Struthio camelus: one gene and its partner. The protein of the gene in region 2 interacts with the protein of the main gene of each other region in a pairwise test. Links are inferred from orthologs where the notes say so. Each region holds a gene or a part of one and is shown on either strand. Other genes may lie near its edges.

Region 1 (7,743 bases), on a different chromosome or scaffold from region 2:
CACCACTGTCAGTGACACACTATAAAAATATGTATCTTTTGATCAGTGAATCAGTCCACTCATTTGCATGGATTGCTCACAAGGTGCAGTGAGTGCAGAGAGAAATAATGCTCTGATAAGCGTTTGTAGGCCCATGCCCATATGCATGGCTTTGCTTCTGGGAGAATTTCCCTGCAGCAAGATGAGGATATACTCCAGTAGAAATACCACTGGGTCAGGCTAGCTTTATAAGAGATCAGCAAGCAGTGCTGTTTGAATAAAATAAAATAAAAAATAAAAAATAAAAAATAAATTTAAAAATAAAAAACAAATATTAAAACACAAAAATAAAAATACTTTAAAAAACAAAATAAATAAAACAACAAAATACATTTAAAAATAAAAAATAAACCCCTCCAAAACAATAATAACACAAAATAAAAAATAAAAACAAAAATAAGAATAAAAGATAAAAGAAAAAATACAAAAATACAAAAATAAACAAAATAACAAAATAAAATAGAAGGCTGTCTACCTTGAGGCTAGGGATAGAGTAGGTCCACAGACTTACCAAAATTGTTAGGAACAACCACTGAGCATCTAATTGTTTACAATCTTTTGCAACGTGGTCTGGGCTTTCACACATTATTGCCAGAGCCAGATCACCAGCTCGACCTCTGAGGCTACAAACTTACTCAAAGGCTTAAAGAAGTGGCTCTCTTTCTCGGCTTGACAAACACGCATCTCCAGCTCTAATTTGAAGAAACACTAGGTAGGTACAGCTGATCAAGAATGATCTAGCATATGTCAGGAACACGGCTTTAATGGATGTTTTGATTGGTATTGGAAGTCATTGGAATGGGTATTGGAAGAGGGAATATGTACGTATCTTAGCACGTATAGCAGGTATACTACCTGCTTCAACTGGAAACCTTCTGCAGTAGTAAAAATGGGCACCACAAACACGTCAAATCAAAGCACAAAGAAATTTCAAGACGAGTGAAATTTCAAGGGAGGCCACCACTTCTGGCCTCAGCCCATTCCCAGCCAAGAATAACTACAGATAGTTTAGCCGACAGGTTTACTGCTTCTAGTGTGTAATGAACTGGCGTAGACAAAAAACACAGAAACAAAGTAACAGCTTGCATTGAAGCTGGGCTCACTGAGCCAGATTGCAGTATACAAAACTGCAGCAATAGGTAGCCTGCAGGAATGCCCCGGTAACTCTTAGTTTTGACAGTGGTCTGTATATAGCCTTCAACATGTTCCTGCTTCCCATCACTTTCTGTATTTAGACTAGCTACTATGGTAAACTTTCAAAGTGCCATGTACTTACTAATCTGCCTCTGCCTTTGTCCTTTCTCCCTGTGATGCTAGAAACAACCGCAATAACTGACAAAGTTACAGTTTCTTATGGCTTACCTTGGTGATGTAGCCATTTCAGCACATAAAACTGACAATCCTTGAAGGCTTTTCACTCCTCGCCCTATCCTGCTCCAGAGGAGGCTTTGCTACAAATTCATTCTTCCCCACACAATGCCCTTTCAGACTTTGGTCTACACTTTGGTAGCTTTTTAAGTTCACATACTGTTTACTTCACAGCCATCAATCCACTTAAGTCAGATTTTCCAGACATGTTACTGGATACCAGGATAAACGAGGTTGCACATCCACACCCTCATTCAGCATATGGGACACAGGTGGGCTGAAGAAGAGGCTAGGTTTTCCTCCACAGACCTCACTGACACTTTGCTGGGACTCTGGTTTTCTTACAGAATATTCTTCTCATGCGTACTAGATGTAGATCCACTGCCGCTCATGACAAGTCTAAAGGATGAAAATAAATGAATGAGAACAAACGAATGGTTGTCTCTCTCAGCTAAAACTTCTCTCTATGGGGGAACTGATGCGGGTGTACAGATATGTGCCAAAGCCAATGTCTCTGAAGAGAAATATGTTTTTGTTTTTTTTTTTCAAAGCATGTCATGCTCTAGCCATCCTCCCACATTCCACCTTGCCCTTGCTTAGGGTGGGAATGATCCTGAGCTCATGATTCCACACAGTCAGCTTCTCCAGCAATAACAAAGGCAGCAGGAATAGGCATCATATAGCCTATAGCTTCGCAAAGTTTGAGAATCTGCATCAGGTATGGGCCTGATGGTGGGCACACCATTCTGGAGTGTAGGAGGCAGACAAGTCATTGCTAAAGTGCTCGTGTGTGTGGAGGCACAAATCGTGGTGGAATAGATACTATGTGGGTTGCTACTCCTGCTGAAGTGCAGGCAGCCTGAGTTGCCTGCCTCGAGGGATCCAGGACAAACTGATTGAAAGTGAGCCAGTCCTCCATGCTGAGAACAAGTACCATCAAGTGCTTTGTTCAATGTCTAATGAAGATAGAGCAGTTTAAGCTTTAAGCTGTTCTTCGCGCTTGTTTCAATATGAGATCATCTTTCTCAAATACGGTCAGCCCCAGATAGCACAATGTATTTCAGAAAAGGCTTATTAGACCCTTATACAATAGCATTTTCATTATTTCTCCTTACTTTAAATGCCTCCTGACACATCCTAGGGTCACGCTTGCCTTTCTCATCACCACGTTACATTCATGATTCATAGTCATTCTGTGACCAACTGCTGCACACAGGTTTTTCTCCTTCTCAGTTAATTGCAAGTAATAAACTTCCAGATTGCAGCAAAGGCCCATATTGTTAGTTAGATATTAACTAACAACACTTTGAATTTTGACCCATTTCTTTTACTCTAGTCTTCAAAGTCATCTGGTTATTTCAGTTTGAAATGTCATTAGCATATTAATCAGGGTTCGATTCTCCTCTTCAGTTAAGTTACTGACATAAGCAATCAGCTCTCAATTTTTAGTGCATTTTATAATCAAGTTCAACCACCTACCATCCTCATTCTTCAGAATGCAAGGCTGTTTTCTCAGTCAGTTATCTGGAATGTCTGATTACCATTTCTTTGACAGAAACTGGCTCTTTTACATCGATGAGTAAGGGCGGTGTAACCTGGGTCTAAATGAGTGGTGGAAAGAAATGAAGACAACAGAGAGAGATGACATATTGTCACATGGATTTTCTGAATGTGTACAAGCTGTTTTCTTTAACAATTTGTGCCTACATTATACGTTTCTTAGCTTATACTACATCTACTAGAACACACTCAGCTGAATTTCTTGACACAGACAAAATTAAAGGACCGTGAGCTTAAAGCTCTGCTGCACATGCACTGGCAGATAGCTTATTCATAAACTAAAGATTCAGCAATACCATAAATGCATTCTACCGAAGAGGCGGAGACAGTGTTCAGCTCCTGCTGTATCTTTTGAGGAGTCTTTTATCTTTAGCAAGGCATGCAAGAGAACAGTATTCATCTGTGAACTGAGATCCCATCTTAAACTCTAATCTCCCCAATCATCTTCTCTTCTATTGTGTAATGGAAAATATGAACAACTTGACAGCAGCCTGCATGACAAAAAATAGTGTTTGTGAATAGTCAAGCCAGATCTAGTGCTGATGATGCAGACATACTAATTAAATAATAGTACAGTAATTCTTTTTGTAAACATCTGCAGACTGAATATTCAGAGTGCTAAAAATAGCACAGTTTTTATGTCTAGTAGTGACCCCTGCTGTTTAAGATAGTTATAGCAATGATAAACACTTCCGGAAGATAAATCAACTGCTTTGGAATCAGCTGCTTTTTTGTGTCCACATGTAACGGAGGCTCTTCCTCAGACGTTAAAGAAGAAAATTTATTTGTATTACTAACACTTAATTACCAGGGTCTTATACAGGGTCTTTCACAGCTTAGTCTTGGAAGCTCTCAGGCAACAACATGCCTCAGGTTCGTATGGGGCAGAAGTCAGTTATAAGGCACGTTCCAGAGCAGTGCTACTATAATGGCAGACTTTTCAGAGTCATCGTATCCTCTCAGCTCTAGCTTTAAGGATATTTTAACACTAGAGGGGAAGTACTGTAGAAATCCATCTTTATTCTATGAATTGATATGGAGAATTTCTTCTTTAAAACTGAAATGTACTTCTGGTACAATTTAAGTTAACAGAATTCCCATTTACCTTGATTATAAACAACGATTTCACTCCAAATGTACCTTTTTATTGCAACGATTACACTACAAATAGCACTTTATAGTCTATATAGATTACCTGAAAATATGGGCATTAAGCATCTTGGGAACAAACGGAAGGGAAAGAACAGTGTTACCCTCCCTCCCTTTTCCTTATTTTGTCTCTCTGGTAAATTATGATTTGATAATATTCATAATAATTTGGTAAATTATGAATTAAATGATTCTGATTAGTTTTTGGTTATTGGCCCAATAAGCCAGGAGAAAAGTGATTTTGCATTCTAATGTTTTCCGTATAATTGCTTGTAACATTTTCTCATGCTTCCATGAGGAAACTCACAATCAGACAGGCATTTCTCCACGACTTGTTTTTCGGAACAGCAGCATGTGTTTTGAAGTGCAGCCTCAATCAATCATACCTGCTGCATTTTTCATTGGCGGACCAAAAGCCCAGAAAGGAGAGAAAAAAAAACCCAAAACAAAAAAGCCCTGGCGTTTTCGGTGAGCCTCCAACTTCCCCCCAGGGTCGTAAATACTAAAGAAAAAGCGCTGGCAAATCTGCCACTTCTGGTTCCTTCAGCAAGACAGCTCTATGCTCTCCAGGGCGACCTGAACACCTTAGGGGGAGTGCTCACCAGCGCTTTTCCACAGCCACGGATTGGAGGAGAGCCCGGCGCTCCCCGTGGCGGGTAACGGCCGCCTCGGCATCCTCAGCCGCGGGCCCGGCCCCTCCTTCCCGCGGCTCACGACGATCCCGGCCACTGCCGCTGCCGCCCCACGCCACGGCCGTTACCGCCGCCCGCAGCGACGACGCCAGGACGCGCGAGAGCCGCGCGCGCCCCCGAGGGCTCCGCAGCCAATGGGAGGCGGCGCGCGCTCGGCCAATCGCGGGCCGCCTGGCGCCGCGGCTTGAGGAAGGCAAGGCGCGCGCGCTGCTGCCGTTGCGGTTGCCGTTGCGGTTGCCGTTGGGGCGGGGGGCGCCGCCCAGCTGCCGGCGGGCGGCGTTGGTGGCCGGCGGAGCGGCTCTTGCCGGTGCCATGCACTCGCTCGGAGAGGAGATCCGGAGCTTCTCCCGGGCGAACCTGCGGAAGCAGTGCACCAGGGTGACGACGCTGACGGGGAAGAGGATCATCGAGACGTGGCGGGGCGCCTGCCTGCAGGTGGTGGAGGAGACGGAGCCTGCCGGCGGCGGCGGCTGCGGTTACGTGCCGGACCTCAGCGCCGACCTGCAGGTCGGCGTGGTGCGGCCCTGGCTGCTGCTGGGTGAGTCGGTGCCGCTGGCGAGGCCCGCTGGAAGACCCTGCCTCGCCTCTGGCTGGATGGTTACAGCTAACCGTAGACAGTAAATGTTCACTCTGCTGGTTTGTAGTCAGTGGGCTCCAGGGAAAAGGGTCTCCAGACTTTCAGGAGTGACTGTTGTTGACTTCTTGACAGTGTGGTGCTACCTTGATGCCAAGTGATAATTCACGTGATGGTAAACTTGCTCTCTTTCCAGGGTCGCAGGATGCTGCTCATGATCTGGAGACGATGAAGAAGTATAAGGTAACATCGTGTAGCGATTAAAAACATACCTCACGTAGTGCTTGTTAGAGGATTTTTTTTTTAAGTTGGAAAACTCTAAAAAATGTATGTTCTCAGGTAACTTTAAAGATAGTAGTAATACTACATTTATACTTTAAAAAGGCTGCTACCAATAAAGCTTGCAGCAGCTCCATTCACAGATGGATGGATGCATGTGAGTTTCACAAGAGGCTGAAATACTTTGCTGCAAGACTCATGATTGTTTAGCACTATTTATAGAATACATTCTGGCATTGCTATACATGTTCTTAAGTTTCAGATGCTAGCCAGAATCAAACCCACTGGCTTTTATGGGAGTTGTTAAAAGGAGAAAAACAAAGCAATAACTCTAAGTCTGTCCTGAACATCCATCTTTTTACTCTTCTTTGCTAGGGTAATGAGGTGGTATGGCCTTCAGACCATTGTGCTTCTGCAGGACAGGGCGTGCACTGACCTGGCATCCATTGCCATCTAAATGTCACTTCGCCATAAATTAAAACAATCCATGACTTCACCATACCTTGAACAGAGCAAATATGGTAGGAAGCCAGATTTGCTCTTTTCTGCCAAGTGCAAGTATAGTTTACTCTGAAATTCTTGTGTTCCAGTAAACATTACTGGTGAGTCAGTAGAAACAACATCACTGTGACGGGCTTGGGCAGGCTTTGAAATTTGGGGGATTATGGGGTGTCATTCTGTCAGTACAGGGGTGACCTGTACTGTCATTCCCATTGGTTTCTCTTTTATTTTCCATCTGTATGCTGACAACTCCCTTTTCTGTTTAAAATCCTTACTTCAGTCTGTATGTTTGGGTGAGCACAGATCACTTAATTTCCTCTGATTTGCGATGAGGGGAGGGGAAAAAAAGGAAGTCTTCAATCACATGATTTGTAGTAAGAGGTTTAAAGCTTATTGACCAGGTTGTATGACTGGCTTGGTGCCATTGAGTATCCTCAGACAGCAGATCTCAGTGTCACAATAAATTATGGGGCATTAGCATTCATCCCTGAACGCTATGGTATTTACGGTCACTCTAAATTTCTTGGCACTTCTCTGCAATACTTTAGCTTTCTGTCAAATTCAGTTTAGCTGATCAGTTTCTCACCACATCTGACAAATTAATATTTATTCTTCTTTTATTGTTGGGTAGTGTGTCTCTGTACTGTAAAATGGAAGTTATGCTCCATCCAGAGTTGTTTAAACTGCAGTGATGAAATAAATGATTCCTACTTGTAAATTGAAATGGATTTTGAGTACCTACCTGGTGATCAGATATTAAATAAATTAAAGTTGTGACTCAGAGTAACTTCAGTAGATATGAAGTTACTTATTTGAAATACCTTCATTGCCCTAATGATCATTGCCATTTTGTTTTAATAAAAAAGAAGAAAAGTGAAATATAGCACAACATATTTTAACACTCAGTAAAACTTTACTTTGAAAAAAACACACCATAGGCAGGCTATATATATAAAACTGAATGAACAACAGTGCAGTTGCGTACATTACAGTCTATGTATGTCTAATGAATAGTCTACCTTTCTTACTGTTCAGTTGCTTGCAGTCTTCAGAAAATGCTTTTTTTTTTTTTTTTTGGACTTAGGTTACTCATGTTCTAAATGTGGCATACGGAGTCCAGAATGCCTTCCTCAATGACTTTATATACAAGAGCATTTCTATTCTGGATCTCCCAGAAACTGATATTACCTCCTACTTCCCAGAATGTTTTGAGTTTATTGAGAAAGCCAAGATCCAGGTACAGTATATGAATAATTAATGCTACTAGTTATCCTGTTTAGATTATTTATTGCACTATTTAAAATCTAAAGCAAAAAAGAACATGTGGCACCAAATGAGTACCTTTGTCATTGCTTTTTTCATTTTAAGTAGAGAATTCAAGCAATTTCTAAGCATTCGTAGAAACATGACCCTGCTATTAATCCCCATTCCCTATCAGTGTTACTTTTTTTAGAATGACTGATCTGCATGTTATAGAGACATGCTTCTTTAACAAAGCTGTTGTGTCTTTAGATAAAGAAATCCCATCTAAGTCCAAGTTACCGTATCTGACAGAGAGAAAAGGAAAAACTTTTTTGCTTT
Region 2 (8,034 bases):
AGTGTACTCCCAACTGCTCAGGACAGGGTGGCTGTGTCTTTGTGGTAAACATGGGATGCAGTTTGAGGTCTCACCTGGCAGCATTTTAGCTAGAGTGAAGAGGGTGGAGTCATTGGCTACAAAGCAAGATGAGAACAATAGAGCTGCATCTTTTCCATGAAGATCAGCTAGTTCTTTTTCCAAATCAACATGAAATTTACTTGTTCCTGAAATATTTCTTGTGCCTCCTGCTCCAGCACCATGTTGTTTCAGTGTATCCCTACAGAGTGCCCAAAGAGAGGCATTAGTGTTACTGAGCAACACAAAGATGAATATAGGATTATTGCTGAAAACATTCTACACAATCTCTATCGTTCTAAAAAGAGCTGGCTGTGAAAAGCAGCTGTTATTTTAAGGTCTTTGAGCAACTTGCACACCTCAGGGATTCAATAGGCTAATGAATAAGGTATCAAGTACAGCTGCAATATACAATCCAGTTTATCTGCTAATATTTGGGGGCTGCTGAGGAAGCTCAAGGAGCAGGGTCAGCGACTGACAGGTTATGTTGCAGCCCTGGAGGAAGGGGGGGAAAACCACCACCTATCAAGGCTTAAGAGAAGTATAAGCTTTAAGGCTTCATTATATGAAAGAGTAATGCCAAAGTAGTTATGAAGTACAGTAGAAGTATAAATTCCAGGGAGGACTTTCTATAAAAGCTTCTATAGACCACCGTAGCTTGTAACTGCATCTTAAGAGCACAGTACTACTCACACAACTGCTCCACACACACGAGGGTGACGGCTCATCCCCAGGTAATCATTGCTGCACCACACAGACACCTCCTTTTTGGTGATAAGAGAATCAGAATAGTCATCTGCCATGGGAAAGATTTGTGCCTTTCTGTTTACTGTTTTGAATATTCGATAAGTATGATCCTTCTTCTTTTCATCTATCTTCTTCTCAAAGAACTGATCATACTGGAAGGTGGCCACAGCTGAAATAAGACAGACTTAAGTACATAGGAGTTAATCACAAGCAGACAGGCTACAGGGGTTTTGCCAGCTAAGCTTACATTTTGGCAAGTTATCCTGAAGCAGATGAGAGACACTTTCTGGTCTTTGCTTGAGCACAATATCCTGAAACTTCTTGAGCAAGCCACTCTGCTCTGTTCCCTCAGTTTGAGGGCTCCTCACTGTGGAGTTAGCTGGTGTTTTGGCAAATTCTGTACCTACAGACATGGCAAAGAATTGCAGTGAGCTTAATCCTTTTGAAACAAAATGAAAAGGTAAGTTATGAGTTCAGCAAGGCAGATATTTTAAGTTACTCTAACCCTTTGTTCTTTAAGGGCCTGCAGTTGAATCCATGGGGCATCCTGTTGGCATCGGCTCTTATTGGCTTATAACTTTGCCCTGTATGAGACAACAGGGGAAAAACTAGTTTGCTAATCAATGACAAGACAATGCAATGTCCTTGCACCACACTTGGCTTATCTTGACTAGCAAACCTACTCTATAAGGGTGCAGCTCCCATCTGAAAGAGCTGGTACATAGCTAACTGAAGTCAGGAGTTCTGGTTAGCAGCTTCTGTTTAACTCCCAGCATTTTGTTCAGTTGGTAGAGTTTTCCCCCAAGCCACAGAGAAAACCAGAGAAGTAAAACAAGCTTCCTTTCTGAGAAAGGCAAAAGTTTTACTGATATGGCTGAAAAGCATCTTTCGACAAAACTTTGTCAGAAGCTTGCTGCTTTGAAGGACAGCCCTTCTGCACCAAGCCAGCCAACACCCTTCTGTCATGTCAAACAAATGAAAAAGGTTGCTTGCTTGCTTGCCAGCTTGGATTTGTGCTGCTATTTACATAGTACCCTGTCCTGACTTCCTTCTTCTCTGGATATACCACCTTGTCTATACCAGCACTTTGGTAAAGCTCACTTGAGTCCTAAACATCTACTTTGGGTACAAGTGCTACAGCTTGGTTCACAGCCCTAAAAGCAGGGTGCTATTCCCACATCAGAATCACCCTGGGCAATCATTGCAGAATACAGCTGATACACCATTAACACCCAGTGTCTGCTACAACAGCTTGTCATCTCCCATGGTCCTACTGACACAATTTAAGTGGTGTCAGTTAAGACCTGGCATGTGCTAGAGTGGAGTCAGGCACCAAAGGCAAACGCTTCAGAGCCCAAAATACCTACCTTTCCTCTCGGGCTGCATTTCCTGCACATCCTCCTGGAGTTCTAGGCTGGCTTTGCAGAAGACATTACTGTTCCCGTGATTCATCTGAGCTGCCAGGAAGGGGCACTTGGTAGCAGAGCTCGGGGGGCCGGCGGCAGCAGGCGGCGGGTGGCCGGCGGGCGGCCGGCATCCCTCGGCGCTCTGCTCAGCGGCGTCTTTGGCACTTTTGGCCTCTGAGGTGGGAGGAAGGGGAGGGGAGAGAGGCTTCAGTTTCATCGTTTCGGCGCGGTTACTGGAGCTTTTCTACCTAAGCCCTTAGCGCCGGACTTGGCAGGAGCCGACCGGGGCCGCTTAACCGAGCGTTTGCGTCTTATTTCGCGGAAGGAGGAAATTCCAGCGCCTGATTCAGCCGCTCGTCCGGCACCGCGGCGCAGGAAGGGGGAAACGCGTCCTTCCCCCCCCCCCCACCCCGGGGCGGGGAGCTCAGCGCCCCCCCCCCCCCCCGCACTCACCGCGGCGGGCGGCCGGGGTCTCCTCAGCGCGCTGCCGGCACCCGGCCGAGCTGCCGAGGGCGCGGGCCGGCGCCGCCTCCATCATGCGCGGGCAGTGCTGGGCGTAGAGCAGCAGCGAGGGCCCGGCCTTCTGCAGGAAGGCCTGCGGCACCCGGGCCAGGAACGGGCAGCGCCGCACCACCGCCTCCATCGTGTCGCTGTCGCCGCCTCACCGCCCTGTCGTGACAGGCACCCGCCTCGCCGCTGCGAGTGCCGCCGCTCCCTATATAGGCCGGGCGAGCAGGGCGCATGCGCGTTGCGGCTGCCACCGCCGCCCCCATGGGCGCAGGCGCGGGAGGGGCGGGGCGCGGCCGGCCGCCCGCCCCCGGCCTGGTGTGGCGCGGGGCGGGGCGGGGCCGCGCGCCTTTTCCAGAAGGGTCGGAGGGCGGCGGGGCTGGGGCTGGCGCCGTGCCCGAGGGCGGTGCCGGTGCCCGGCGCCCGGCGAAGGGAACAGCGTTCTCGTGAGACGGGCGGCGGGGAGTAGCGCTGAACCCTGCGGCCCCTGGCCCGCGACAGGCGTTAGCGCCTCTCTGCTCGTCCGCTTGGGAGGGAGGGTGGTTTTTATTTTCGTGGTGTTCCGTGGGGTTGTTTTCGTGCTAGCCGGGGCTCTCCTCGTAGCCAGCCCGGCGGCACCAAGCGTCGGCAGCGCTCTGCGAGCTGCCGCTACCCCCCGAGCGCCGAAAGGGCCAGGGGAGGGAAGGTGACGGGTTTTTTTCTTCCTCTTCTTGTAAAACACTGATTTCGGGCTCGCGCAGAGTACCGCCTCGCTCATCCTCACCCCACCCCTTCCCCCAGGCAAAAGCCACCTTTTGGCTGGTTTATAAGATAGCTGTACTTTTTTTATTGAGTAACAAGTGTGGGGTTTAGGAGGAGCGCTCTTTCGAAAGTTCCCTCTCGACTGACACCTCGCGTCTCACCGAGCGGTCGAGGTGCTGGGAGGCACTCGTACGGTCGCGGCTGGGGAAGAGCAGAGCCTGTCTAGACCTGTGGCTGCTGAGCTCCTGAGTTTGGCTGCGCAAGGCGCTAGGAAGGTATCGGTCAATGTTTACACGTTACGAATTAATCCGTAATTGCCTGATCCCGCCTCTGTCACCGCGTTTGAAGATGCTGGTGGCAGCACGTGAAGTTGGCGGCCTGGATAAGCAGACCCCGAGGAGGTCGAGCTTTTCAAACCCCCCGTTAAACAGCAGAGTCGCTGTCAGCTTCCGCGTGCCGTTCAGCTCCCGCTTAGGGAACCGGACAGCGTTCTGGCCTCGCTTGTTCCTCGTGGAGCCCTAATAACAGTCAAATGGGGCTTTACACGGTAGAGGCATGGGATATTTGGGTTTTAATAGGGCTAGAGAGTGTTTTAAGCACAGTTTGCTTGCTTATTAGAAATTTAGCACGGCGTTGACTTGTGAGTCTTAATATTCAAAGCTTAAACAATTCGACTCGTTATTTCAGCAACATAGTGCAGAAGTTACCATTAACGTACACAGCTTTTTTTTTTTAAGTGGATATCATTAAACTGCATGTGTGCCAGTTTTATTTTGTTCTGTAAATAAATGATTAAGCTGAGGGTACGGTATTCGATCCAAGCCCGTACAGCGGTTGCGATAACAACAGTCTTGGGCGCTTGGCAATACCAGGACGGTGCTTCAAGTTCTTAGCTGAGTTTGTTCACGAAGAGAGCTCGTTCTTCATAGCTGGCTTTCAGTTAGTGCTACACGCGGCAAGTACTTATGTTTTGCAAAACATAATAGTGAATAAGCTATTAAAAAAAAGTTTAAAGATGCCTGATGTGTGTTTGGATGACTGCTCTCCCTTCCCACATCGAACATCTGACTCTCTACCCTCAAGCTGTTGCCCACATCAGTTATTTTTAAAAATGAGGAAACAGACTACTAAATTCTGCTGTGCAGATATCTGGTGAATATCATCAGAGCAGAGTTAGGTTCCTGAACCTAAGGGATCATTGCGGTGTTCTTTGGATTAATTTCAGTTTTAACACCAGAAACTGAGTCCTGTATGCCTGATTTATAGTGTGTTGATGGCATCTTTCCTTCTCCCCTTCTTCTTGTATTCTGTGACCATGCTACTTAATTCAAGAGGGGCGGAAGGAATACTTCATGAACAACAGCCCGCCCTAGAGAAAGGGGTTTGACAAGTACGTTGGCCGAGTAGCGCAACAGACTGTAAAGCTTGTCTGTATGGACACCTGCCGCAGCAGGTTCAAGCCCGCAGAAATCTGATAATGCTTCGTTATCCTAATCTTAGTAGCAGCATCTTATTATATTGCAAGGTTGGGGGATGAAGTGCGTTAGCCTGCTCTGTTGCTGGAATACAGAAACTTATGCTTTTAGAATTAGAAGTGCCCATGTCAAGTCTGGTCAGTAAATGAGCCTGAAGAGCATCAGCTTGTTACCCAAACATGACTCAAGGTTGGAAGCTGAGACAAAGTGACCTTGGCTAAGATGGTGAGATCTCCAAACGGTGCCGAACCCTGAGCTCTCCTGTCAAACTTGCTTAGGCTCTGTGGTGTTAATCAGACCCCATCATAACACTGTTTTCGAGCTTGTTTCTGGTGAATTTATTTAACCTTGTACATGACAGAAGTTGTGCAGAGCTAAATAGCAATGAAATGACATAAACTTGACCCTTATCTTGGGGAGCTGCCAAAGGAGAATGTCACCGTCAGTGCACAGAGATGGTTGTGAGCTCTAGGTCCAATAAAGTGCTGAAAAAATAGTGGTAAAATTAGGGGGAAAGGGTGTCTTCTCTACTGCTCTGCCAGTTCACTCACTTTGGGAGTTTTAGGTAGTGAAGATGAAGTAAATGCTAATAAAGCTATCGTTAATTAAAGTTTCTTAGGGCTTTAGTGGATCAATTAAATGGTATTTAAAGATTTTAATTGTGGGGCTGTATTACCCTCATCCTCCAAGGCTCAGGAGAAACTAGCTGGAGTGCCATGCAAAAGCTGGTTGCCGCACTCCAGGAAGAGGATTTCAGACAGAGACGCATGGGATGGTACCGTAGTAGCCAAGCGGGGAACAGGAAGCTCATCCCAAGAGGGAAAACTAGGCATACGCAGCCTGTCAGGAGGCCACTGGTGGGCATGGGAGAAACGGGTTCGCTGCCTGTGAATACATAAAAGGTGGAGTAGCATGTACCAAAGAAGGAAAAACGGTTTAGGCTGCGGGGATGACCTCGATGTGAGACCAAACGCTTACTCAGCTGGCCGTGAAGAAGTGTAGGTTGGAATTTGGGTGGTTCCTGGCTGTAACTGTTTTGGAACAGCCTTCTGGTAAGAGCCACTGAGACTATGAATACCAGCTGGCTTTTTGCAAGGGAAGCTCTATCTGCCTGAAAGGCTCATGGGATGTAGTGGTAGGGGCTCAGTTACCCAGAGCGTCTCTGCTGATTTTTTTTTTTTTTTGTTTTCTAAAGCCCATTCTGTTCTGATGATTTGTCCATTTGTTTGCTAAATGAGTTGCAAGAGGAGAAAAAAGGTTAAATTCCAGCAATCTGGGAGGTGGATGAGAAGCAGTAGAAAGTGGTTCCCAGATAGAAGTCTAAAGGGAAGGAAAAAAAAACAAAAAAAACCCTGCCACAAGGTCAAGTTGATTTCTGCAGATGTCCATGAAAAGTTGCTGCTAAAGATGGTCTCTTTCTATGTGATTGGTTTACTATACAGGCTGAGCTGGGAATTGCCATGAAAATAATTCCCTTCTGTCCCTCTCCTCTCTAACAAGTTTTCCTAATATTCCTAGAAACAGAACTTGACCAGCAATTTGTAACTTTAATCCAGTCTCACATCTGTCAGCAATTAGTTCCTCTGTTTGAATTTGAATTGGATTTTTTGATCTGTAGAGAAGCCTTTAGATTCTTCAGGAGAAAAGCAAGAGTAAAGCCCCTCTGCACCCAGGTTATCCAAAGGAAAACGTGTAACTGTACCATTAGCAAAGCTTAATCCCTCTTGCCCGCTTCCCAAATCAGAGGCTGCACGCATTTCTCATTTTTCCCACCCATTCAGTGTCACAAAAGGGCAAGACAGAAAAACAGTCCTCCTCGCCGCCCCCCCCCCATCTCTTCCTATATTGAGATCAGAGTTTTCCAAAGGAGTGGATGTGATCCTGACATCTGGATTTAATCCAGACTCAAATTCCAGGCTTGGGTCTAAGAATTTCCACTTCCAGTGCTGAGACTAGCAGTTCTTAGAGAGCTGTTTACCTTTTAAGGCAAAATTCAAGGGTTGTAAGAGTAGTAGCATAGTGAAAATTCCTCCCATGTTGCATTTCTTTAGTATTTTTTCCCCCATCTCTTCCTCATTTGGATAGAATGCTCTCCATGTTTTCCTTACTTGACAAAAGAGGGAACCTCCTTTCTCTCTGTGACCCCAGTCTGCTGGGTTTTCAGTCAAGCTGGAAGAGGTGCTGAGTGTTGAGGCATGGGATATCTGTCGGAAAGTGCGTGAGCTGCACCCCCCTTTTTGAGCCACCAAGGGAGCAAGCTCCTTACCCAGGGTCATGCAAACAAGTGCCAAATTGATTTTCTCCCCAGTGCAGTGGATGCCTTTGAAAACTTATGGGCTGCCTGTAGGTCCTCACAAGCGCGTTGGGTCAGGATCCTTCTTACCTGCCTGCTGAGGCCCAGATGCAGAGGACTTCTGTAGCTTGGCAAACCCCTTTATTTCAGTCTGACTCATGTTCAGATGAGACAGGAGAAGCTGTTGCCACCCTAATACAGGCACCCTGCCCTTCTGCTGCAAGGCACTACTCCCACATTAGGGCTGCTGCAACTTTCAGTAGCCAGCAGTGGTTTATCTTAATTGCAGAATGTCTCCTTGACTTTCCTCAAGTTGCTTCAGAGTTGGAAATCATACAGCACTGTCTTTCATTTGGCATCTTCAAGTTTGTCTTGCTGTGTGCGGTATGTTGCAGGAACTGATACAAGAATCCTTCCAGCTAACGTTAGCTTTGTTTCACGTACAGTGATTTGCAATCACACCCTTGTTTGTTCCTCTCACGTTCCTTTCGTCTTTCTCTTAGAAAGGACCAGTAGGGTCCAACCAGTATATTTTTGTTAGGATTATCGTGGACTTCAAGCCGTCATTTTTCTTGCATCTTTCAGTCCTCCTCCTTCCTCGTTAGCTCCTTAGGCAGAGATATCACCTTCTACATCCAGCTGAGGAGCTTGAACTCTCTCTGTAGCTAGCAGAGAGGAAAAGTATTTTTCCAAAGAGTGAATCTGAGTATTTCTTGTACAAAGGGGTGAGAGGGTGGGGAGAGGACTTAGCTCCTAAATTAAGGTCTCTGTAACTGGAGTTTCAGAAAGCAATTAAAGCTCCAATAAT

What was found.
Region 1: the proteins of ALAS1 (region 2) and DUSP19 interact in a two-hybrid assay, tested with the Homo sapiens proteins (3 studies listed by BioGRID and IntAct). The two-hybrid records come from large-scale screens. The link is inferred for Struthio camelus from reciprocal best matches to the Homo sapiens genes ALAS1 and DUSP19.

What each region holds. Positions count from the first base shown.
Region 1 is NC_090947.1:17,825,390-17,833,132, reverse strand, and holds the start of DUSP19 (dual specificity protein phosphatase 19), read left to right. Parts: upstream 1-4,661; 5' UTR 4,662-5,120; coding exon 5,121-5,346; intron 5,347-5,578; coding exon 5,579-5,625; intron 5,626-7,246; coding exon 7,247-7,399; intron 7,400-7,743.
Region 2 is NC_090955.1:22,842,966-22,850,999, reverse strand, and holds the start of ALAS1 (5-aminolevulinate synthase, non-specific, mitochondrial), read right to left. Parts: upstream 3,035-8,034; 5' UTR 2,854-3,034; coding exon 2,664-2,853; intron 2,385-2,663; coding exon 2,172-2,384; intron 1,208-2,171; coding exon 1,052-1,207; intron 974-1,051; coding exon 751-973; intron 260-750; coding exon 75-259; intron 1-74.